Linked DNA regions of Alligator mississippiensis. The protein of the gene in region 2 interacts with the protein of the main gene of each other region in a pairwise test. Links are inferred from orthologs where the notes say so. Each region holds a gene or a part of one and is shown on either strand. Other genes may lie near its edges. The genes, in order: EIF5 and DUSP12.

Region 1 (11,032 bases), on a different chromosome or scaffold from region 2:
AGTTCCAAGGTTAGAGAAGCAGCTTATTAGCAGTTACAGGAGGTCTCATTTAAAAACACTATTGAAATAGATTAATCATGGGAAACTTATTACACCCTGGACAAGCAGTTTCTTCAGCTCTTTATCCTTCGACAGGCAAGTGGAGAAGGGAGTGTTTGAAATCACACATGGGTTTCTCAGATCCCAGGAACCACATGAAAGTTTGTTTCGATACAAAATGAAGTAGTTTTTATGATAAGGAATAGCGGACATCTCTGCGATTGTCCAACTGTCCCTTAAAGCCAATTTAGCTACCTATAGGGCGTTTAGTACTACAGTAATACTGACATTGCTATGAAAGAATTTTCTTAGTTCTGTTGCTGTCACCTAGTACTGTTGTCAGAATCTGTAACATGACCACTAGGTGAAAGCTTGTGTTGTCACGAGAGCCTGGCAAGAAACCCAGCCCTAGATTTAGGAAGCAACTGGCAATACCAATCTGCAAGTAGAACAGGTTGTCCAAGCCTATATAACAAGATGATCTCACAAAGCAGAGACCACTGGAATAGGTTAGGCTTCTTTGTTATAGCAAGCTTAAAATTGCAGCAGGCAACATGGATGTCTACCACAGAGTGTTGCTTGCAGAACAAATGAACAAGCCACTTAGTGACTTTACTAAAAAGTGCCAAACAGAAGGGGAGTAACTATTAGAAGGGACAGACTAAATCTGGAGACACAAGGCAATTGCTTACAAGGCTCTCGGCTGTCTTCACCCATGGATTAGCATCTTAGGTAAGAGAAATGGTTTTTACTCATGGTATTGATTGCCATTGTTATTATCTTGTTGATTTTACCATGAACCCTAACATTCCTAATGGGAAACAAACTCCTCTACACCATGCAGTCAGGCACTGACAAGTTAAAAACAAACCAACCAACCAACGTCTTAACACCTAGATTGCTTAATTCTAATTAAAGTGGCTAAAAATACACTTACCAGGTGGGTTTTTGAGAATGAACGTGCAGAGTTTATGGTTCGTGTCAAGCATGCCTCGATAGCCACAGGCTTTGCAAGAGTTGCCTATAGTTTGTTTCTTAGTATTGACATGCTGCCAAAGTGAAAGTTTGACATTAAAGCTCTGTATGAACTATATTTTGCACATTAAACCACCAACCTCCCTAGGCTTAAGTAACATTTTGCCCTCCTAATTCATCCCTTGTGCACAAATTTTGAAACATAGCTATGCCTACAACCCTGAATTCACATTGTTTACTCTGCATGGTATTTGAAGTCAGATCTCATATTCCTGAGGTTGTGTGTCATACGTCATATACATTACCCTGTGCAAGATTAACTACTTGAGCTTAATGAGCATGCAAGGCAATGTCAGTTTTTCAGACGAGGTAGGTCTTGTTTCTACAACCAATATTTAAAAGTACTCACCAGATCAGTTTCAGGATTCTCACACTCAGGACAGAGAACAAATTTTTTAATGAATCCATCCAACATGTCTTGCAGCTTATTCGCCTCGTGAGATCCATTGACAATGTAACGGTCATTCTTAACATCAAACTGGGTCTGTGCTCCCAGCTCACAACCAAAAAATTTGGTAGGATCTTTCAAAGAAGGAGAGAGAGAAAATAAATCATAAGGGACTAAGTTGGAGATTCACAGTTAATTCCTGCCTTCTATGCCAACACAGTGTCTCAATGTGGTGCCAAACAGAAAGAGTGAGCCAATACTAGTTTTGATAATACTAGTACTAGTTTTGATAATAAAGTAAGGAGCCGTTGCATGTTATGCAAAATTACCAAACACTTGTCTTAAAGTTTAAAAAAAAGACACTAAGTTCAACTGTAATAGACCTTTAACCTATGATTAAAGGATTCTTCTGTTTGGCCATTTTGAGATGCAAAGAAAGAAGCCACAGTCATCATGTGAGGTTAGTCATTTTATGCTGACAAGTTTCCCATTCATGGTTTGATTCATGATCTGGCATTTGCTATTGACATTTATGACTTAGTGCTTCCTCTCCTTTTTTTTTTTTTTTTTTTAACACAGTATGATTTCAGGTACTTTACAAAAAGAGAAACAAAATACAAGGATTTCAAAATTAAAGATACTTACACGTTGGAGGCCGATTAAGCGCCTTTGCAACGTCAACCATGTTGACTATAACTGTCTTTATTCCATTTCCTTTGCCCTCAACCTAGAAGGAATAGTAGTCAGAGATTTAGTTAGTTAAATGTGTAATGGCCATTCCCCAACAAGCTTTTAAAGCATTCCTCAGATTACATTTGGTAATGTAGCACACTGTAGCACTAACCACAATACGAGTACAGAATCTAAGCCTTGTGATCTGAGCCTTCAAGAGGCTGAGAAGCAATACCTCTGACCAACCAAGGGACCCTGAACTAGTCTTGTCACCTCTGCAACTCACATTCCTTAAACATTTAAATAGGGATGAAAATTTAACTTAATCTGAGAGCTAGTTATTGAGACTACAAATTAAAAAAAAAAAAAAGAAGTTACCTTGGCAATCAGACGGGGCATTTTGTAGCGATAGAACTGATCTGAAACACTGCGGTTGACGTTGACAGACATTTTGTCTTATTAGTTGCTTTATCAATAAGATGAAGAGATCTTTGATTGCAGTTTTTTGGTATCTTCTGTCTGGAGAAGACGGGATGACATAAACGACTGCAAGAGTTCTCGGTCTCTGACATGAAAAAATTTTCGCCACTGAGGCTGTAAGGTTCTTGCTTGTACGCTATGTTTCCCCAATACAGGTACCAATGGCTGCGCAACAGCTCTGAAAGTATTAAATAAAAGGAACAATTTAGACTGCCAGTATTAAATAGAAAGCTTGTTCAGTGCAGGGTTCTATTCTACAGTTATTTGATTAATTTTATTAAGATTCAAATTCAGATATTTCTGTTGTTTTGCAATCATGGAAAAAATGTGTGCACCTTTAAAACCAACTGTCTACTTTAGTTCCTCCCCAAAAAATTCTTGTGGCACTTCATGTTTTTACAGCAGCTCTCTTCAACCTCATTTAGCCATTAGCAGTTCTTTAAGTAGTTTTCCACTGCTAAACTTACTTCTGAGGAACAAAGGAATTAAGAGTACTCTGCCCAACCCTTTCCTGCATTCTTGGGAGGAGCCCTACTATTAGAACAGCTACAGGCAACTAATAATTAAGTTAACTGAAGCATAAATATGAAAAAATGCTGATTTATATTGTATACGATTTATATTTATGATGATTTATATTCCAATTACTTAAACAGAATTTTATTGCTACTATATAAAGTAGAAAGGACAGAGTTAACAAGTGGACTTGTTACTATATGGACATTTTGGAGACAAGTGCAGGTATTAGAGCTGGATTTACTGTTACCACAGTTGGTTAACTAGCTGGGTACCAAAAGGGTTAAAAAAAGTACACAAGACTGCTTTGGAATTCACCAAATGGAAGTCAGTAGCAAAGTGCACATCTAATCCAATTTACGTACTCTAAAGTAGAATTGAGAGCAATCCCCCAAGGTATATCGATGCACCTTGGTAACTAATGCTGCACTACCCAATGTTTTCTTAAATTTTTATTCAGGACATGATTAGAGTACACCAACCAGAAGAAAGTCTAATAGAAAACAAACAAACAAACAAACAAACAAACAGAAGCCACATTTTTCCAAGTACTTTATGTTATTACCAAAACACTATCTTTTTTACATTACTGGGTCTCCACTGCTTGAGATCCAGTATTATTAAAATTGGATTTACTGCATAACTACAAGAGAGCCTTTTGCCAGCAAATTGGGGTGGGGGGGGGGGGGGGGGAGAAGAAGAAGGCTGCATGTGACCCAAACACGTGTCCAAAAAGATGGTGCCTCTGAACTGCGCCCTCCTTTCTAGCCTACTGCTTTTGTCTTGAAGCAACCCACCCTCCCACAGCAGCAGGGGCAGCACTGCTCCTCACAGGACAGAGCCTGCGCAGGCAGGATGGCCGCCTCCCTCCCTCCCCTCACAGCAGTGATGAGTCATAAATGCAGCAGCAAAGTACTGAGTCAGCCCTAAAACCGAGATGAGGACAGGAAAAACTCCCCCCCCCAACCGCGCGCATGCGCAGTCCAGGAGCAGCCGCAGCTTCGTTCTAGCACGCCCCTCCCCCCGCGCTGCGGATTCGAAACTGCGCCACAGCGCCCCCCCCCCCCAATCACGCGGAGGCGCGGCCCTGCCGCCATCTTGTCTCGTCGCGTGGGGCGGAGAGGAGACGGGCAGGGAGGGAGTTGAACCACCACTTTTTGCCGCCCCCCCCGACCCTCACAATATCCCCAGCGTCCCTCCCTGCCCCCGCCGTGCTTGAGCCCCGGGCACCCCCCTCACCTCCCCGCCCCAGGCGGGACTCACCGTTTTCGTCCAATAAAGACATAAACCCAACGCTGCTCGCCCCGGGCCGCGACGAAGCCGAGTGCGTAAGGAGAACCGGGCGGTGCGGCGCTTATAGGCGGGCGGTGAGAGGCGGAGGCGGGCGCCGCAGCCGCCGGGTCCGAGCGTCCTGGGGCGGGCGGGATCAGCAGGGGCAGCGGCGGCGCCGGACAACCTGCGGGAGACACGCGGGCGGGGGCATCATTAGCGGTGGCACCTGCGTGGCGGCGGCGGGCGCAGCTGAGTTGGAGCTGGAGGGGAGGGGGCAGCGGCTGGAAGCCCGGCAATGGCCGCCCCGTACTCACCTCTAGAATGTTCTCGCTCGGACTGAACAACGCCAAAGCTGGGATCAATCAGCCAACGGCGTGCCCCGCCCCCGCGTTCCTGCCATTGGCTGGCCGCACGCCCTCCGCCCACCCTATTGGCTGCCGCGCTTAGCTCTCAAACCGCACTAGCCTCCCCTTGCCCCCCCCTCTTTGCTTCCCCAAAGGACATCGCGTCTACTGCGGGGAAGTCTCGCGAGAAGCTGGAGGAAGAGGTGGGGGGAGGGAGAGAGGAATGACTCAGTGAAGCGGGATCTGGTGCTGCTCCCCGCGGGGGAGGGGTTGGATTGACCCATGTGCCGCCGGGGAGGGGGAGACACGTGGCAGGCGCCCCCTGTGCCCCGCGCCCCCCTCCCCCTCGTTTGTCTCTTATGGTCTCAGCCCCCTTTGCCCGGGGCAGTGGCGCCCTGTGTCCTGGGGCATGTGCACGTGTCGCGTGCCGGGGCTCCGCCTCCGCTCCTCACCAGGCTCTTCTCAGACCACATGCTCCCCACTGCTCCCCACACCGAGCCTGGTTGACACATGTGCCCCCCAGCCACGTGCCAGGGACCCAGCCCCCCCCCCCCCCCCATGAATCTTTTCCCCCAATAAAACATGCTTGTTTTATTTTTCTCCTGCCTGCTGAGAGGAGTCAGTCCTGGCGTCCCTCAACCTGAGACACCACCATGGGCAGATGAGGGGAGCTGGGCTGGGGGGTTGCTAAGGGCTGCCCCCCACCGCTTGGGGGTGCGGAGGTGCTGGGTCTCCTGCTCAAGGCTGCCTCTGTCCCGCTTCCCGTTCTGAACCCCGTTTGCCAGGTTCTGCCAGCCGATGCCCGCAGCTAACCCTGCAGTTTTGGAGCAGGTTGAGCCGGGCGTTTGGAAGTAACCGCATCGCGTGCAGGTGGAGAAGGGCCGTCCGGCTGAGCGTGAGACTTGTTTGGCCAGCAGAGCGCGGAGTCTAAATACCAGCCACACAAATGGCCATGAGCTCGTAAGCCTGGCTTACCCTCCACATTAAAGAGGGCACGAAGGCCCAGTTTTCCCTGCCCCACACAGGGTTACAGCCCCCATCGCTGTCAGCTCCTGGTATGGACATGGAACCAAGCATGGTCCAAGCCTACAGGAAGGGCGCGAATCTCCAGTTCTCAGTGCCGTAGCAATGAAGTTTGCCACCCGGGGCAGAGTCTGCAGTGGCAGCCTGCCCTCGCCCTGCGCGCAGATCCAGGGGCCACACAACCCCCCGCACTTGCCCGGGAGTGCACGCAGAGGTGGGAGCCACACTTTCCCCGTGCCCCCACAAATGAGCCACTCGCGGCTCCATCTGCGCCCTGTCCCGGCTGGGCAGCGCCTGTCAGTGCCCCTTCTCTTCAGTGCCTGGGGCGGTCGCTGTGTTCGCCCCCAGCCCCTTTTTACGACACTGCCAATTCTCTCAGTCACTTACACAGTCTCTAGCAATGCCACATCCTATCCAGGACCCATTTGGGTGGGTCTTAAGTTATGGTGTACAGGCGTGACCAAAGGTTTGATGTTACATAAGTCATGTATGCTAAACACCTGTATACTGTACATTAGATATCAGGGGTGCATTGTTAAAACTCCCCGTGTGTTAACAAGTTTATTTGCAGGGGTTAACATTCATAGAGGCTCAAATTTGGGTGGACCTGGAAGCTAATTCAGTGAGCTGTGACCCATCCCAGAACGACCCATCACAAAACGGCGCCAAGGTGTTTCTGTGCAGACGATTGCAACTTGCCACACCAATGCTGCCAGTTTCATAGATTCATAGATGTTAGGGTCGGAAGGGACCTCAATAGATCATCGCGTCCGACCCCCTGCATAAGCAGGAAAGGGTGCTGGGTTCAGATGACCCCAGCTAGATGCATATCCAACCTCCTCTTGAAGACCCCCAGGGTAGGGGAGAGCACCACCTCCCTTGGGAGTTTGTTTCCTGCCTGGACAGAGGCTCCAAGTGTGGATACCACCAGGATTTGAAGTCTCATTTAAAAAATATTAGTCTTGTAAAGGACACAGAACTCAAACCCATTTCCTCATCTTTTACTTCCTTAATTACCAGTGATTACCAGAAACATTATGTTCCCTTTCAAGCAGGGTCAGCATGAAGGCATTCAGGGGAACACATTCAAAGACCTGTCCCCCCACCCACAAGAAAGCAGTAATTAAATATTTTGGATATTTTTATAGCCATATACTGGTAATATAAAGAGGAAGTGCCAAGGCACAGTAGGGTCATGATTAAAATTTTAGCAGTTCACATAACAAACCACCTCTTCGTATTCGTATCCTCTGCTCCTTTACAGACAATGGCAAAAGATTCCTTGTAACTGAGCATGTTTTACTGATAATGTTATACAGCATTTTGCAGGATCTCTGGAAGAGTAAGAAGAATAAAAAGGGGCAGATTGTTGAAGAATTAAGATTTTAATAAGAATAATATCCAACACAAATACAAAGGAGGTTTTAAATCCAGGTACACATTAAGTTTAAACCAAAAGATTTCAAGATCAGCTGTACAAAGCTGACACAAACAAAGGGAACTGCTCTCTTCTTGCACCTTTTAATGTATCTTGAAGACTTGCTCTGACAGACAAAAGAGCAACACTGGAGTGCAAAGGTGGCTGACAAATGTTATTTTCCTAGAGAACACAAAGGCTATTGCTAAGGAAAATATCAGTCACATCCAGCAATGAAAACAATGTTTCCTCAGCAGCAACAGCAGCCTAGCAGGAATGCAGTTGCCAGAGATGTATATGTGTTTCCCTGAATACTGTCTCCTAGCAAGACCCTCCTACAACATGGCTGCTGCCCTAATTACACGTCTCTGCTCAGCCTTGTGAATAGCAAGTGTTCAGGACAGGACACTGACTTAGAAAATGGGCATGCAGGGCTGGCTTGAACTCTGACTGCCTGAATGAGGGATTGTTAAAAGTCCTCAGAGACATTTTCAGTGTCATCTCGAACCAGGCACAGCAACATTCCTCAACAGGAGAGATTTTAAATACTGTTTTAGAATTCAAATTAGGGAAGTGTCTCTCCAATATAGGCATGAGTTGGAAATTAGCAAGAGGAAGAAATCATCAGAATGAGGGATGCAAGAAAAGCCCAGCAGGAAATGTCTCTGTTGCAAAAATGTACTGGATGTGTAACTTGCTAAATGCCTTCTTTCTGTGGCTTTAGTTTCAAGGCACAGCGCTTCTGAGGTTTGTGCTGCTGCCCACATTATTTCTATGTGTAGCAGAGGGGAAGCAGGGACCCCAAATTTGGTGCATTCGACGTAATGAATAAAGGTTCAAATGGATGACTTCAGTGGTACTGGGACACAGGTTACATCTTTATTTTACATTAAACAAATTGGCATCATTTCACAGGTTCCTTTTGAAGTGTTGTTCATAAAACGTGGCACTCGTCCAATGTGAATGAAGTCAGAGGACAGTCTCTCATTACACTGGCTTACACTGGCTTACACTGGCTAAGCTAAACTGCATTCCTTGATGCTTTGGAGGACTCATTTTTCATGTCATCTAACTTGAAAAAAAAAATCAATTTAACTCTTGATCTCAGGTACTGCTACTGAATAAAAAGAATTTGAATTTTGTTCATTTTAGAAACTTCTGCCTTTGATGAGATAGCAAAAATAACTCTTCCCCTCTTTACTCTCATGGTTGCACAAGTACCAAAGTTCATAAATTCAGTTTAAATTGCTGATGTGACCTTCAAAATACAGGCCACTTGTGTACCTTGCATTTCACTGGTATAAGCTAAGCAATGTATAACTATACTCAGCTCTTTTAGTTAAGAGATTATTGGTTGGCAGTAGCTGTCTGAGTTATTTTCTAACAGCAATTATATTACTGACAGCAGGAAATTGTCAACAGTGACTCACCTCTCTAGAGGAAATTTACTTTTTAATACAAATGTCTTTGGGTGGTTTAATTCAGCTCTGAATGATTCAACTTTGTTCTTTGTTGTCCTGGTTTTACTAAAGAATCCTACAAAAAAGTTAGGTGCTACAGCTAGGATGATGACATGCTACAGCTAAATGAGAAAAAGGAATAATTAAGGATCTACCAGATATTTGTACATAAGATACCAGGCCACAAGAGCATGGGAATCCTTATAAACCAATATGTTTATAAAATTTTAGGCCCTGCTTATCCGCAAGTTAAGAAAGTTTGTAATCTATTAGGAATGTTGTTGGCTATTTTAACATTCAGTCAGTAACCACAGCTGGGAGTAACATTTTCCCATGCCAGATTTGTGAGCTGCACGTGTTGTCTTCCCATGACTGGTTCAGTGAAGTTTTTTGCAGCAGAGGAACCCCCCCGAGTTGTGCTTATGTAACTGATCTGCTCAATTCATGTCTTTCCAGCTCTGTACTGAAGGACACCCATGCATGTATTTAGTCTTAGTGCTGCTCTCCGAGCACCCAGCGCTCCACTGAGGCATATCCCCTGAAAGCTGTCCAGATTTTCCCAAAATACAGTGATACACACACCCAGGAAGTACGTATAGCAAGAGTAGCTGCACCGTCATGGCTGACCTACAGTTGTGTTGTGAAAGAATCTACTGTGTGGGCGCAATTCAACCGAGTAGTTGAATCAGGTATGTAGTAACTGGTCAGAAAGGAGGGTTGGTAATTTAAATATTCAAGCCTGGCACCCAAATAATTAAGTGCTCTCTTCTTCCTGTCTTGGCAGTGTGAAGAGATAACTTAATTATTTAGGTGTCAGGTTTGAATATGTAAACTCTTGGGAAACACAAGTCTGGATTTCTGCAGGGTTGACAGTCCTTCAGGTTTCTAAAGTGGATATATTGAAATCATGTAGTTTACATGTGCCCAGCAAGAAACAGGAATGAAGTGTACACTACAAGGTTCTTTCAGATATCTGTTCTCCACAGATGCTAAAAATAAAAAAGTTTTGGTAGCAAAGAGAGTAGAAGTTTATTCTTTTGTCCCTGGCCAGCATCTCCACATCACCAACCGTTGTGCAGCTCCGCTCATCTTGTTCAGGGGGTGGCAGCCTATGGCCTACAGGTCAAATCTGACCCACCAAGCTGTTTTATCCAGCCTACAGAGCGGGGGCTTTGGCAGCAATGTGGGTACAGGGGGAATTGGTGGCAGTGTCCTACTCACAAGTGGGAGCCTGCTTTTAGAGCAAGCAGCATTAATTTGGCCCACCACTGCTAAACCCTTGATTCCTGAAAATTTTGGGTTGTGAAATACTCTGGTGCCCCTGTTCTATAGTAGTAATTTGCTGTTAACAAACACTGTTATTTAAAGAGAGGAAATAAAGAAAGAATCGGGAGAACAAGAGGTATAGTGATAGGCAGAAGATGTTTTTTGTTCCTGTTATTACAGCAGTACCTACAGGACTCATCCAACATTGGGGCCCTAGTGCACTAATATGCATACATGCTCATAGTAAGAGAAGTATTTTCTTAAACATCATGCTATTTTAATCTTAGAATCATATGGCTGGAAGGGACCTCAGGATTTAGGCCAACACCCTGCTCAAGGCAGGATCATCCCTGTCTAAACCACGCCAGCCAAATATTTGCCTAACCTGTATTTAAAAATTTCCACAGTTGGAGATGGGTCAAACTCTCTAGGTGATCTGTTCCAACATTTAATCATACTCATAGTTAAAACACTCTTCATAATATTCATCTTAAGTCTCCCTTGTTGCATTTAAACTCATTACTTCTTGTCCTTTCCCCTGAAGACACAGAGAACAGTTGACTACCATCCTCTTTGTAGCAACCCTTTGTGCAGGGTTGTCATCAAATTCTCTGTTAATCCTCCCTTCTCCAGTCTAAATAATATCAGCTCTTCCACCTTTCCTAAGTCACGATTTCTAGATATCCAGTTATTTCACTGCTCTCCTTGGGCTCTTTGCAATTTGTCCATGTCTTTTTTGAAGCGTGGTGCCCCAAGCTGGACAGTATTCTGGGGAAGCTGAATAAGTAGTAGAATCACCTCTAGTAACTCACTCCCGTTAATACATAATAGTCATTACAGTCACCAGCTATGAACAAACAAATATGCCAGTTAAAAGTGAGGGACTATACTAGGTGCTTGTGAGTGTTACACAGTTGCTCCTTTGTAATCCATTTGCCTGTCTACCTCTACCCTATAGTAAGTGGGGCTAAATTGTGGTAATGTTGCCCTACTTCATTCAGGAGTAAAATTTAATAGTTTAACTTGTATTTACCACAAGATAAGAGTGGTAAAACCAATTGCAGGGAATTCAGCTGAGTTGAGGGAAACCCTGCCCCCTCCTCCCTAAAATGGTATAATG
Region 2 (11,781 bases):
CTATTAGGTGTGCAAACATAATTCACAAGATAAACCCAGGAATTTCCAATAGGAATCCACAGTGTTAAAAATAATTCTGAACTGCTGTAGCCTTTGAGTTCTTCGCAACAGAAGAATTGTTGTTATATTTCTGTAGACAAAAAGCAAGTGAAAGCTAAGAGTTGAAATTTTCCAAGGGATGATGGCAAGTCTAAAAAGGCTGAGAACCACTGGACTAGATTACCTCCCGAGGTCCCTTCCTGCCCTTTTTCTATAACTACAAATGAGAATGTGCGTAAGATGAACATGAAGCACTGCAAGCCTTTTATGGTCTCTTCCTGATCATCATTTTTCCTACAGCAACTGGAGCCTACCTTCCAGGTCTGAAAAATGCTATCCCAGGTTCAGCAGTATCTAAGTGAGCCCTAGATAAACTTGCAGCACTGGAACCGGAAGCAAGACAAACTGATAGGATACAGCTCTCGCACAATAAGAGACAAGAATTTCTGCCTCCTTACCTACAAATTCCCTGTTTCAGCCATGAAACTGTGTAATAAAGAACAAATTCCCTTTCAGATAGTTCACTGACTCTTTCATGCAGCCTTTAATCATATGGGTCCTAATGATTCTTCAATAAACAAGCTCTTGGCAGAAAGGGTATTTGGGAGTAGCCTTAGAGAAGCAATGTTTTACTGTTATAATCTGATTGATCCCAGGGCAAAAGCCAGGCAATCCCCTTCCTCAACTAAGGAGCCTCAAGACACCGCTGCAATTTCAGATGTTGTATTGTTTACTCTGTATCTGCAGGTCAATCATGGTTAATCTTCCAGCAGGTATTCTGCAAGACCTCAGTCTCAAAAGGATGAATTTTAACAGCATGTTAATCCTTGAGCTTGCAGTCTCAAATAACATCTTTTTCTAAATTAACCTTATTAACATGTTTTTCCCCTCAATAATTCATATAGCATAACAGTCTACAAATTACATGCACCCAGGGAGTTTCATCCAGCCCATCCTAACAAAGCTCTTTTCCCACTGATTCATGTGTTCACTATCATTAGGAGACTGGCTCTGCTGGAATATAAGTGTTGCATACTGCTTTGCTGTTCAGTTTGAAACTAAGCACTCAATTGGAAACAAGGATTTGTACAGCTCCTGTGTAAACAAGTTTAATTTTTCTAACAGAGACAATAAGAACATATATACTTGAACACTGAAGAATAAATCAAAAATTGATGTTTGACAAGACACTGTCCATTTAAAAAACTGCTCCAGCATCTTCTCATGAATTTAACAACAACAGAAAAAAGAAGGATCTAGAATGGCAATAAGCCAATGTTAAAAGTCATTCAGTTGCATCCCAGGAGGGTGAAATCAGCTTTTGCCAAAGAGCAGCAATCACAACTTGATGCTGAGGGTGATCCCACTGTAACAGTCCTCTGTTCTCAAAGCACATTGAGGTCGCTGACAGCAGCAAGCCTCAGAGCCAAGAATTCAAGTTTTGACAGTCTGGAATCCACCAACAGGCAGTGCTTGTATTCCATCTACTCGACTTTTGTGAATCTGGAAGGCAGGAGTCACCCAGCGGCCACAAGAACACTGCTCTCCATGCCAATTGAAGGAGCCCAACTTCAATGTGCATTTAGGGCACAGAAGCTGCAAAAAAACCAAAACAAAACAAAAAACACATGCATTTGCTTGGTCAAAGGCACAGCTTCACTTAAACTTCAGGAAGTTGCAACTCAACAGCAGCCTGGGACTTTCTTAAGTTTCAAATCCATACCCAGCCCTCCCCAGACTACAGAGTCACCTTCCACATTCAAAAGACTGCAAGCTACTTCAGTGCAATAAAGGAATTATTCCTCAACCTTCTCCAGTGGCAGACCACTTCTGGAAACCATTTCACAGCTCCCTGTTTTGTTTAGCAGGCAAATTCTTGTGGGCCATATTTATAAAAGCACTTGACAGAAAAAACAAAACAAAACAACAGAACCCCCCCCCCGCCCCAGAGAGCTCACCTCCTATACATCACCTAAATGAAACAACTCAGCACCTAACTGAGTTCAATACCCATCATCTCCCATTGATCTTAAATTTAGTTCCAGGGAACTGAGCAACTAAATATAGTGCTGAATTTTCAGCTCCCCAAGCAGCAGAGCTTTCTAGAAATCTAGCTCTACATCCTACAAATTCTAAAGCAGGGGTGGGCAAAATGGCCGATTTAGTGGCAGCCAGACTCCATTTCTCAGTAGCCTGTATGGCTGGGGCTGGTCTCCATGGGGACCCGCGCCACATCTGGACTGTGAAAGCTCAAGGCGGGGGTTGCCATGGAGACTGTGGGCTGGACTTTGCCCATCTCTGCTCTACAGAGACTTCTACAGTGAGCCAGACTGAGAACTTCTGTAATAACCACAACCAAAAGGTAGAGCTGGAATACAAAAAGAGAAGATGTGAGGAGGTACAAGAAGGCTGCTGCATGGGGCAAAAGCTGTACCAGAAGAGGTACACACCCTACCATGATTGCCAAGGGACCAGTAAGCAGAAGAACTAAACAGGATGAAGGAGGTCTAGAAAACAGCACGGGCAAGTCATGCTGTATCACTGTGAGGAAAAGAGGAACAGTAGGATTCATCTGACTGAAAGGGAGCCAGAGCCACAGGAAACACACTTGGGTTAGACCAGTTCTGCAAAAGAATGAAACAAAGACGAAGAATGCAAGATAAAGAACGCAATGAAGATTTACTAGCCTCACTAGCATCAACATCTGCCCACCTCAATCCTAACAGCAGTGAAAAAAGTAAATGCCCATGTGCAGCAAAAGACAAGAACTTCTCATGAGGAAAGTACAATTCTAGAGGCTGCTCTAGAAACACATCTTCTGCTCCAGGCTTATGTTTTCACCTTAAACTAAACTATCAAACAGTGGCCTACAATTTAACTTGCTATTGTCATAGCAGATGCCTGAAGCAAAATCCCCCTTCAGTGCCACCTTACCACCACTTGCAGGCTAAATGTGACCATCTTCTAATCTTGGAGCTCCAGAACAGTAGGAAGTGAGAATTAATCCCTAAATTAATCACCTTCAGAGGTGGCTCAAGCTGCGTGGACTGTGAAAAAGGCCTTGCATGACAGCTATAAAACTAGGACACTTAAATCTAGTCAGGGATGCAGACAAGAACAAGAATGCCCAGCAAGCAAGCACTCCCTCACCTGCCCTTCCATCATTCCCAACAATGCTGGCTCCATCCACTGTACCGGCTCAATGAAGTAAGAAGTACATTTATCCTGACCATCATTATGTCGCTGAGCAGAATCTTTAATTCTCTTGTGAGCAAAAGCTGCTGGCCCACTTCCTTCAGCATGGGTCAGAATGCTTGAACTACGAAATAGGGACCGCCTGTCATCCAAAATAACAAAGGATTAGTGGGAACATCACGGTATACCAAGGCACAGGGGCACAAGGAGCCCTTGTCGGCAAGGGATGGGTTTTGTCCAGCCGACACAACCATGTAACAAGGTCAGCAATGGCTGACATGTTCAGCTTCTGGCCTGTCGACCAGACCAAGCCCTTGATGCCATGTCATCTAATATGCAGGGCTCCCCAAGAGTTCCAAAGGGATGCAGTATGGGGCCAATCTGGCTCATGCACCAGCTTATTCATCTAACCCACAGGGTCAAAACTGTGAGCACCACTGGTCTGGAGCCAGCCAATTGTCCCCCACAGTTCCACTTGGTTTCTTATACAGCCACAGTTAGCAAAATCACGAAGAAGGAAGTCACACCTTTTTCAAACGGACGTTTCCAAGTTTGTTTGTTTTTTCTGTTCTGAGAATAGCCAACCCATTTTCCTTATGACAGTTTATTTTGAAAAAAAAAAAACAACCTATGGAGGACAAAGGATATGTACCTGCACTTTCTGCACCTATAGAGAGCCTCATTGTTTGAAGCTGGACAAGTGTTGGTTGGATCAATTGCAAAGACTTCTTGGGGCAAGTCCTGCAGCTCTGCAAAAAGACAGACAACACTAGTTTGGGAACTGGGTGGACAGACCCAGCACTTCCTGTGTCTAGGTAAAGTGTTGTGCCTTTCCCCTCTGCATGCGAGAGCTTCCTTTCCTCACCTTGTTTCCATTTTAGAGGAAGTTCAAAACTAAGCAGCCCCACACAGACATGTAAGACAAGCTCTACCATGCTAAAAGCAAGAAGCCTTGGGTCAGCAACAATCGTTGGCATTGTTCCAGCCTACAGAAGACACTTGGTTGCTTGGGCATACAAAACTTCCTCTACACCATTTAGTGTTGCAGCTACTGAGGCTTTTGCGTGCAACTTGTCACCAGGTGCCAGAGCCCTCCGTGGTCAGCAACGCTGCTGTGAATCCCTGAATCACCCTGCATGTCCAGCTGCAGAATTTGGCCTTATGTCCCCTATGTCTACAGGGAAAGCTGCTAGAAGGGACAGAGAGGGGACTGCTCCCAACTCTGTCTTGTGTGCAGGTAGGAAACCCTGATCTCCAGCAACCTGGGGACTACCTACTCCTCACCAGTACCTGGAGGACCCCACCAGCACGATAGGGTGTCCCAGACTACCAGCACCAACTCTGATCAGCTCCGTGCTCGTGAGGATGGGGGTCAGGCCCAGGAGCCCCCAATTTGTTGCCAGGTAGCCCCAGTGTCAGGGCCCAGCAGGCAAGAGCCCGGCCTCCACCCAACCTGACAGCTGCCCAGACACGTGCTCCCCCAGTCCCAGCCGGCTCCGAGCGGGGCTTACCGGGGTGCTCCTGGGCCAGGCGCTGCAGGCGGTAGCACTTGTACAGCCCGCTGGTCGCATCCACCCGGCACCCCATGGCCTCGTACAGCTCCAGCTGCCGCGCGAAGCCTGCGTTCATCCTGCGGGGACAGGGGCGACGCGGGTCAGTACCCGCGGGGGCGGCTCCGGGGCGGGCGGGGGCCGGCACTCACCTAGCTTCGGGCCTGACGGCGCGGACTGCGGCGTAGGCCTCGGGGAAGCGCAGCCCCTCGCTTTTCATCAGGTAGGCAGCCACCACCGCCGCGCTGCGGCTCCGCCCCGCGTGGCTGCAAAGCAAACGACCCAAGCTCGGCTCGGCTCTGGGCCGGAGCAGCGCACTGCAGCACCCCCGCCCCGCCCCGCTCCGCTCTCACCAGCGCACGAGGGCGGCGCGGCCGGTGGCCTGGGCGGCGGCGAGGAAGGCGGCGCAGGCATCCAGGTGGCTCAGCAGGTCGGCGCCGGGCTCGTCGCGGGCCGCCACGTGCAGCGTCCGGACGCCCGGGGGCGGCGGCGCCGGCTCCTCCACATCCACCGAGAGCAGAGCCACCACCCCCGCCGCTTCCAGAGCCCCCGGCGCCGCGCCCGCCTCCGCACCGCCCAGGTACAACCCCCGCCGCACCCGCACCATTCCAGTCCCCGCCGCCATGGCGGGTTCCGGGCCTGCACGCCCTGCCGCCGACGCCACTCTCATGGCAGCTTCCGGTCCCCTCCTGCCAGGTCACGGCGCCTTCCTGCAGTAGAGACGCGCCGCGCTGGTCTGGACGAGGCTCTTAAAAGCACCAACAATGCAGAGAAATGATGAGGCTGAAGTTGCTGCTTTATTCCGGATTCCCGGTTCCTTTTTCAAAGCTAATCTAGACCCAATAAAAGCTTTTTATTAATGAATTACACATTTTAAAGAGAGAATTGCATTAGCTATACTTATTTACCTATTAATATGTGAATTAATATCCTGCATGAAATACAGAGCCCTAAGTGAAGATCAGATTAGGATGAGATTATGGGGCAAAATACTTCTTGAGCCACCCCAAACTTCCTGTCGATGCACCCAAAGACTCCTGAGTGCAGTCCTGCCCACCCCAAAGCAGTTTGGCCCTGCCAACGGACAGCCTCCCATGCCCACTGTACTAAGTATATGGAGTCAAATAAGGCGCTGGTTTTTGTGTTGGGATTATGGCTGAAAATCCTTGGGCCACCCCACACCATGCTTGGGTATCACAAGAGAACATACCTGACTAGCATCTTGCCCAGCTCAAAGCGCAGCTTGGCTGTGCCAGGCTGCCAACTGACAGCTCCCCCCCCCCCCCCCCCACCATACTGAGTATGGGAATCAGGAATAAGGAACTGGGAATAAGGAACCTACTTCAGCCTCATGAGAAATGTGGAAAACACCAAATTCTCATGTAGCAGGCAACTGAGATTTATGCAAGGCTTTTTAGCCATAGTCCAAGTCCAGGCCTTCTGGAGCTAAGCAACAGATTGAACAGAGCACTTTCTGTGGCACTGGGAGATGTGAGTGCTGCGATTAGGCACTGGCCAAGCAAGTTACAACAGTTTCCCTATAAGGAATGTGCTTGGCACAGTGTCAGAGGATTGGTGCACCATGCTTGGTACAGAACCAGAGGATTGGACAATTTGACATGCAAAAAGTTACAAAAGTAATAGACAAACAAGTGAGAGCAGGCGAGTAGAGGTGATAGGCTCATGGTAGATTTGATATCTTTTATTAGACCATTTTTTTTTGCAAAAATGTTATCTTAGCTTTCAGGCACAAACACCCTTCATCAGGCATTGGAGAAAAACATTGTAAAAGTTCTCCTGGGTAGAAATAAAAGCTCATATTTCATAGGATTTCACAGAGGGGTCAATAGATAGAATACTCCTCTGGGCAGGCAGTTCTTAGCTAGTAAGGAGTCTCTTAGCTCTCTTGTGAGGCTCTGTGATGATGCAAATTTCATAGACATTAGGGCTGGAAGGTACCTCATAAAATCATCGGGTCCAGCCCCATGCCCAAGGGGCAGGAAGGCTGCTGGAGTCAAATGATCCCAGCAAGATAGGGATCCAAGTGTGTCTTAAAAGGTGTCCAGAGTAAGTGCTTTCACCACTTCTGCAGGGAGTCTATTCCAGACTCTGGGGACTCGGAGTGTAAAGAAGATTTTTCTTATGTCCAGCCTAAAATGGTCTTCCCAGAGTTTGTGACCATTAGACCTTGTCTTCCCTTGGGGTATCCTGGTAAAACAGACATTCTCCCAATTCCTGGTGCATACCCCTCTGTAACAGGTCACCTCCCCAGTGCCATCTTCCTGGTAATCCACGCCTTATGGGGGCGCCCTTGGAGCCTTCTTTGGGGTTCTTATGTCCCGCCCTATACTCACCTGCCACGTCTTGATGGAAATTATTATGATGATTTTCTTGTGAGCGGGAGACTGCCTATTTCTTTGGGTAGGTTGGGGCCTTTCACCTACGCAGGCCTGACCCCTGGCTAGGCCTCTCCATCTAAACCAACTAAACAGGGTTTGACTTCAAGGCTCTAGCCTTTTCAGTGTCTTGAGGCTCCTGGCCCTCTTTTCTGTTCCAATCTGGAGCCTGGCCCAGGGGCCCGGGCACCAACCCCACAGCCGAGGGGCCACAAGTTCAAAGCCAGGGGACGGCCCTGAGCTCGCAGCCTCCCAGTCCAAAAAAAAAGATACCAAAATAAAGTTGCACCACAAGCGCACCAGACCTCCCTGGCCTTTTTAAGATCTTGCCTTCAGGCACCAGGGTCTGTGCCCCGCCCCCCCCCCCCCAAGAAGCCACACCCTCGCTGGCACTGGGGTCTGTGCCTCTCCCCCCCAAAAAAGCCACACCCTCACTGGCGCTGGGGTCCCCACTCCATAGTGGGTCCCCAAAATGAGGCCTCCTCCTTCCCCTAATAACCTCACCCAAACCGCCGGTCTTATTCATTAATCAGAAAGAAAAAAAACCAAACAGTCCCATCCATGGGTTATAACCGCCACCAGCTAATGTGATAAAGAAAAGCAGCGTGTCAGCTTACATTCACCGGGTCCGTGCTTCGGCTCCCCACCGTCAGCTCATGTCTTTGCTGTGATGGGGTTGCCGTCTCCCCGGGGCCTTCATGGCTCCCCTCTTACCACCTTTGGACTGCTTCTCCATGAAACTCTCTGAGGCACTCCTTCCCCTCCAGCAGCTCCCTCCAAATTACAGCTCTGCCCAGGGTTTTTATAGTCCTGCCCCTTCCGGTCAGCTGACTAGCTGACCAGGCTCAACATTTAACCCCTTCTTTCCCAGCACTTCATGCCCAGAAAGTTCTGGCCTTAAAGGGGCGGACGTGCCTTCTGGTAACAGGGCTAGGGTCCCCTGTTACACCCTCATATACTTATAGGAAGCCACCAAGTCCCCCCTGAGCCTTCACTTTTCCAGGCTGAAGATTCCCATGCCTCAGCCTTTCCTCATAAGACCTGTTCTCTTGACTTCTAATCATGCACATGGCTCTCCTCTGGACTCTCTCAAGCTTCTCCACATCCTTCCTAAAGTTCAGAGCCCAGAACTAAATGTAATGCTCCAGCCCAGTACCAAGGCTGAGTACAGCGGGAGGATGACATCCTGGGTCTTGCTTGAGATGCATCGATAGATACAAGCCAGAGTTTTGTTTGCTTTGCCAGCTGCATCATTGCATTGGCTACAAAATGAACATGATCCAACAATCATGACCCCAAAATCTCTTTCGGTCGTGGTGCTAGTGAGCATAGCACTGCTGAGCCTATAGGTATGATGTGAATTCTTTTTCCCAGGGTGGAGCACCTTGCATTTCTCAGTGTTGGATGCCATCAGGTTTTGATCCGCCCACCTTGCAAGCTTGTCCAGGTTGGCCTGAATCACCAGCCTGTCCTCAGATGAGACCACACTTCCCCATAGTTTGGTGTCTTAGATTTCATAGACACTAGGACTGGAAGGGACCTTGGAAGATCATCGAGTCCAGCCCCCTGCCCCAGGGGCAGGAAGTCAGCAAGGGTCATAGGATCCCAGCAAGATAAACATCCAAATGTCTCTTGAAGGTGTTCAAAGTAGGTGCTTGAACCACCTCTGGCAGCAGTCTATTCCAAACATTGGGGGCTTGAACAGTAAAGAAGTTCTTCCTTATATCCAGCCTGAAATGGTCATGGAGGAGTTTGTGACCATTCAATCTGGTCATCCCTTGGGGTGCTCTGGTGATCAGACGTTCCCCCAGATCCTGGTGAGCACCCCTGATAAACTTATAGGTGGCTACCAGATCACCCCGAGCCTGTGCTTTTCCAGGCTGAAGAGTCCCATAGCTCTCAGCCTGTCATCAGAAGGTCTGTTTTCCTGACCTCTGATCATGCACATGACTCTCCTCTGGACTCTGTCAAGCTTCTCCACTTCCTTTTTGAATTGTGGAGTCCAAAACTGGATGCAGTACTCTAGCTGCGGCCTCACCAAGGCCGAGTACAATGGCAGAATGATGTCCCGGGATTTGCTTGAGAAGCATTTATGGATGCAAACCAGCATTTTGTGCGCTTTACTAGATGCAGCATTACATTAATGGCTCATGTTCATCTTGTGGTCAATCATGACCCCCAAGTCCCATTCATCCATAGTGCTAGGCAGTGTAGCACTGCCGAGCCTATAAGGATGCTGCAGATTTTTCCTCCCAAAGTGGAGAACCTTGCATTTTTCAGTGTTAAACACAATCAGGTTCTTGTCCACCCATTTCCTGAGCCTGTCAAGGTCAGCCTGGATCGCCCTCCTGTCCTCAGGTGTGGACGCTTTACCCCAGAGTTTGGGGTCATCAGCGAACTTGGCCAGTCCGCGTCTAATACCAATATCCACATACATCATTAATGAAGATGTTGAATAGTATAGGCCCAAGGACACTGCCTTGAGGGATCCCACTGGTCACAGCACACCAGAATGATGGGCTTCCATCAACTACCACCCTCTGGGTCTGACCACGGAGCCAATTCCCCAGCCAGTGGATCATGGTGAGGCCGAGGCCGCAGTTAGCCAATTTTGCTAAGAGGTGATCATGGGATACCAAATCAAAGGCTTTTTTAAAGTCAAGGTATATCACATCAATCTTGTCTCCCTTGACCAGGTGATAGGTCACCTGGTCGTAAAAGGAAATAAGATTGGTCAAGCAAGACCTATCCGCAACCAACTCATGCTGGCTATCCCTCAGCCAATCTGTTAAGAACGGTCCCTTTGATAATCTTTTCTAAGACCTTCCCCGGGATAGAGGTCTATCCCGGGCCTGTAGTTTGTCAGATCCACTTTCCTCCCTTTCTTGAAGATAGGCACCACATTGGCCTTCCAATCTTCGGGCAGTTCACCAGAGCACCAGGAGTTCTCAAAGATCTGTGCCAAGGGCTGAGCTCTGATGCTTGCCAGCTCCTCGAGTACCCTCAGGTATAAACTGTCAGGGCTGGCTGACGTGAAGGTATCCAGCCTCTCAAGGTGTTCCTTCATGAGGTCAGCATTGATGGAGGGTGAGGAATCTCCCTCACCCAGGCCTTCCCATCCCATAATGGGCAGGGGCGTCCCATGGGACTGGTGAAAAACCAACGGAAAGTACCCATTTAGTAAGCTGGCTTTTTCCTGGGTGTCAGTTATCAGTTGTCCCATTTGGTTTAGCATGGGCCCAGTGTTGCCCTTGCTTTTCCTCTGACTCCCCACATACCTAAAAAAGGACTTTTTATTGTCCTTGATACTTGTAGCTAGTTGGAGTTCACTCGCAGCCTTGGCTTTCCTGGTTCTCTCCCTGCAGTTCTGGACTAGTGCAGAGCATTTCTCCTTGGAGGTGGATCCAGATCTTCATCCTTTGTAGGTCTTTCTTTTTAGACAGAGGAGGTCCGCTAGTTCACTGCAGAGCCGAGGGTGCTACTGTGCCCTTTTGCTGCCTTTTCTCCGAGATGGGATACACTTTGCTTGTGCATCCAGGATCGCTCCCTTGAGGAGCAACCACTTGTCCTGAACTCCCCTCCCCTTTGGGTCATGTTCCCTTAGGGCCTCACTGACAAGTCTCCTGAGCTTGTCAAAGTCAGCTTTCCTGAAGTCGAGGACTTCTGTATTGCTGACTGACTCGTTAGCTTTATGGCAGATGGTGAAGGTGATCAGCTCATGGTCATTGTCACCCGGCTTCCCTTTGATCATTAGGTTGCTGATTAGGTTGTCCCCCGTTGCCAGTACCAGGACGAGCAGCGCTTTACCTCTTGTCAGCTCATAGACTTCTTGCATCAGATAGAGCTCATCCGCGCATGACAGAAATCTTAGCAACCGTTCAGATTTGGCTGAGCACTCTTCCCATGAGATGTCTGGGTAGTTGAAGTCTCCTATGAGAACCATGCATCAGGAGCATGTGGCGTCAGCCAATTCCCTGGCGAAGTCTTGGTCAAGCTCTTGATCCTGGGTGGAGGTCTGTAGTAGACTCCCACCATTGTGTCCCCTGTGCTGTGTTCCCCACGGATTTTAACCCAGAGGGTTTCCAGTCATCCACCCTGGGTGCCGGTGTCGGCTTGCAGGGACATGTAGCTTTCCTTGACATTAAGGAGATTAGTTTTTTCGTGGGTGTCAGTTGTCAGCTGCCCCATTTGGTTTAGCAAGGGTCCAATGTTGCCCTTGTTTTTCTTCCGACTACCCACATACCTGAAGGAGGACTTTTTGTTTTCCTTGATTCCCGTAGCCAACTTGAATTTGGCTTTGGCTTTCCTAGTTTGCTCCCTACAGGTGTGGGCCAGTGTTGAATAATCCTCCTTGGTGATGTTACCTGACTTCCAGCCCTTGTAGGCTTCTCTTTTCAGATACGGGAGGTCTGTAAGTCCCCTATTTAGCCATGGGTGTCGCCCAGCCATTTTGCTACCTTTCCTATGGGCTGGGATGGACTTCCCTTGTGCTTCAAGGATCACATCCTTAAGGAGTGACCACTCCTCATGGACTCCCCTCTCTGCTAGATCCTGGTTTCTCAGGGCCATGGCAACCAGCCTCCTGAGCTTATGAAAGTTGG

The links.
Region 1: the proteins of DUSP12 (region 2) and EIF5 interact in binary tests that used the Homo sapiens proteins (3 or more experiments, as listed by UniProt). The two-hybrid records come from large-scale screens. The link is inferred for Alligator mississippiensis from reciprocal best matches to the Homo sapiens genes DUSP12 and EIF5.

The regions. Positions count from the first base shown.
Region 1 is NC_081825.1:286,325,125-286,336,156, reverse strand, and holds the start of EIF5 (eukaryotic translation initiation factor 5), read right to left. Parts: upstream 4,765-11,032; 5' UTR 4,717-4,764; intron 4,587-4,716; 5' UTR 4,394-4,586; intron 2,793-4,393; 5' UTR 2,585-2,792; coding exon 2,513-2,584; intron 2,190-2,512; coding exon 2,108-2,189; intron 1,597-2,107; coding exon 1,424-1,596; intron 1,089-1,423; coding exon 977-1,088; intron 621-976; exon of another isoform or gene 494-620; intron 1-493.
Region 2 is NC_081824.1:241,096,270-241,108,050, reverse strand, and holds DUSP12 (dual specificity protein phosphatase 12), read right to left. Parts: upstream 5,425-11,781; 5' UTR 5,410-5,424; coding exon 5,138-5,409; intron 5,051-5,137; coding exon 4,937-5,050; intron 4,865-4,936; coding exon 4,746-4,864; intron 3,984-4,745; coding exon 3,887-3,983; intron 3,377-3,886; coding exon 3,190-3,376; intron 1,636-3,189; coding exon 1,474-1,635; 3' UTR 1,133-1,473; downstream 1-1,132. UniProt on the Homo sapiens protein: Dual specificity phosphatase; can dephosphorylate both phosphotyrosine and phosphoserine or phosphothreonine residues. Can dephosphorylate glucokinase (in vitro).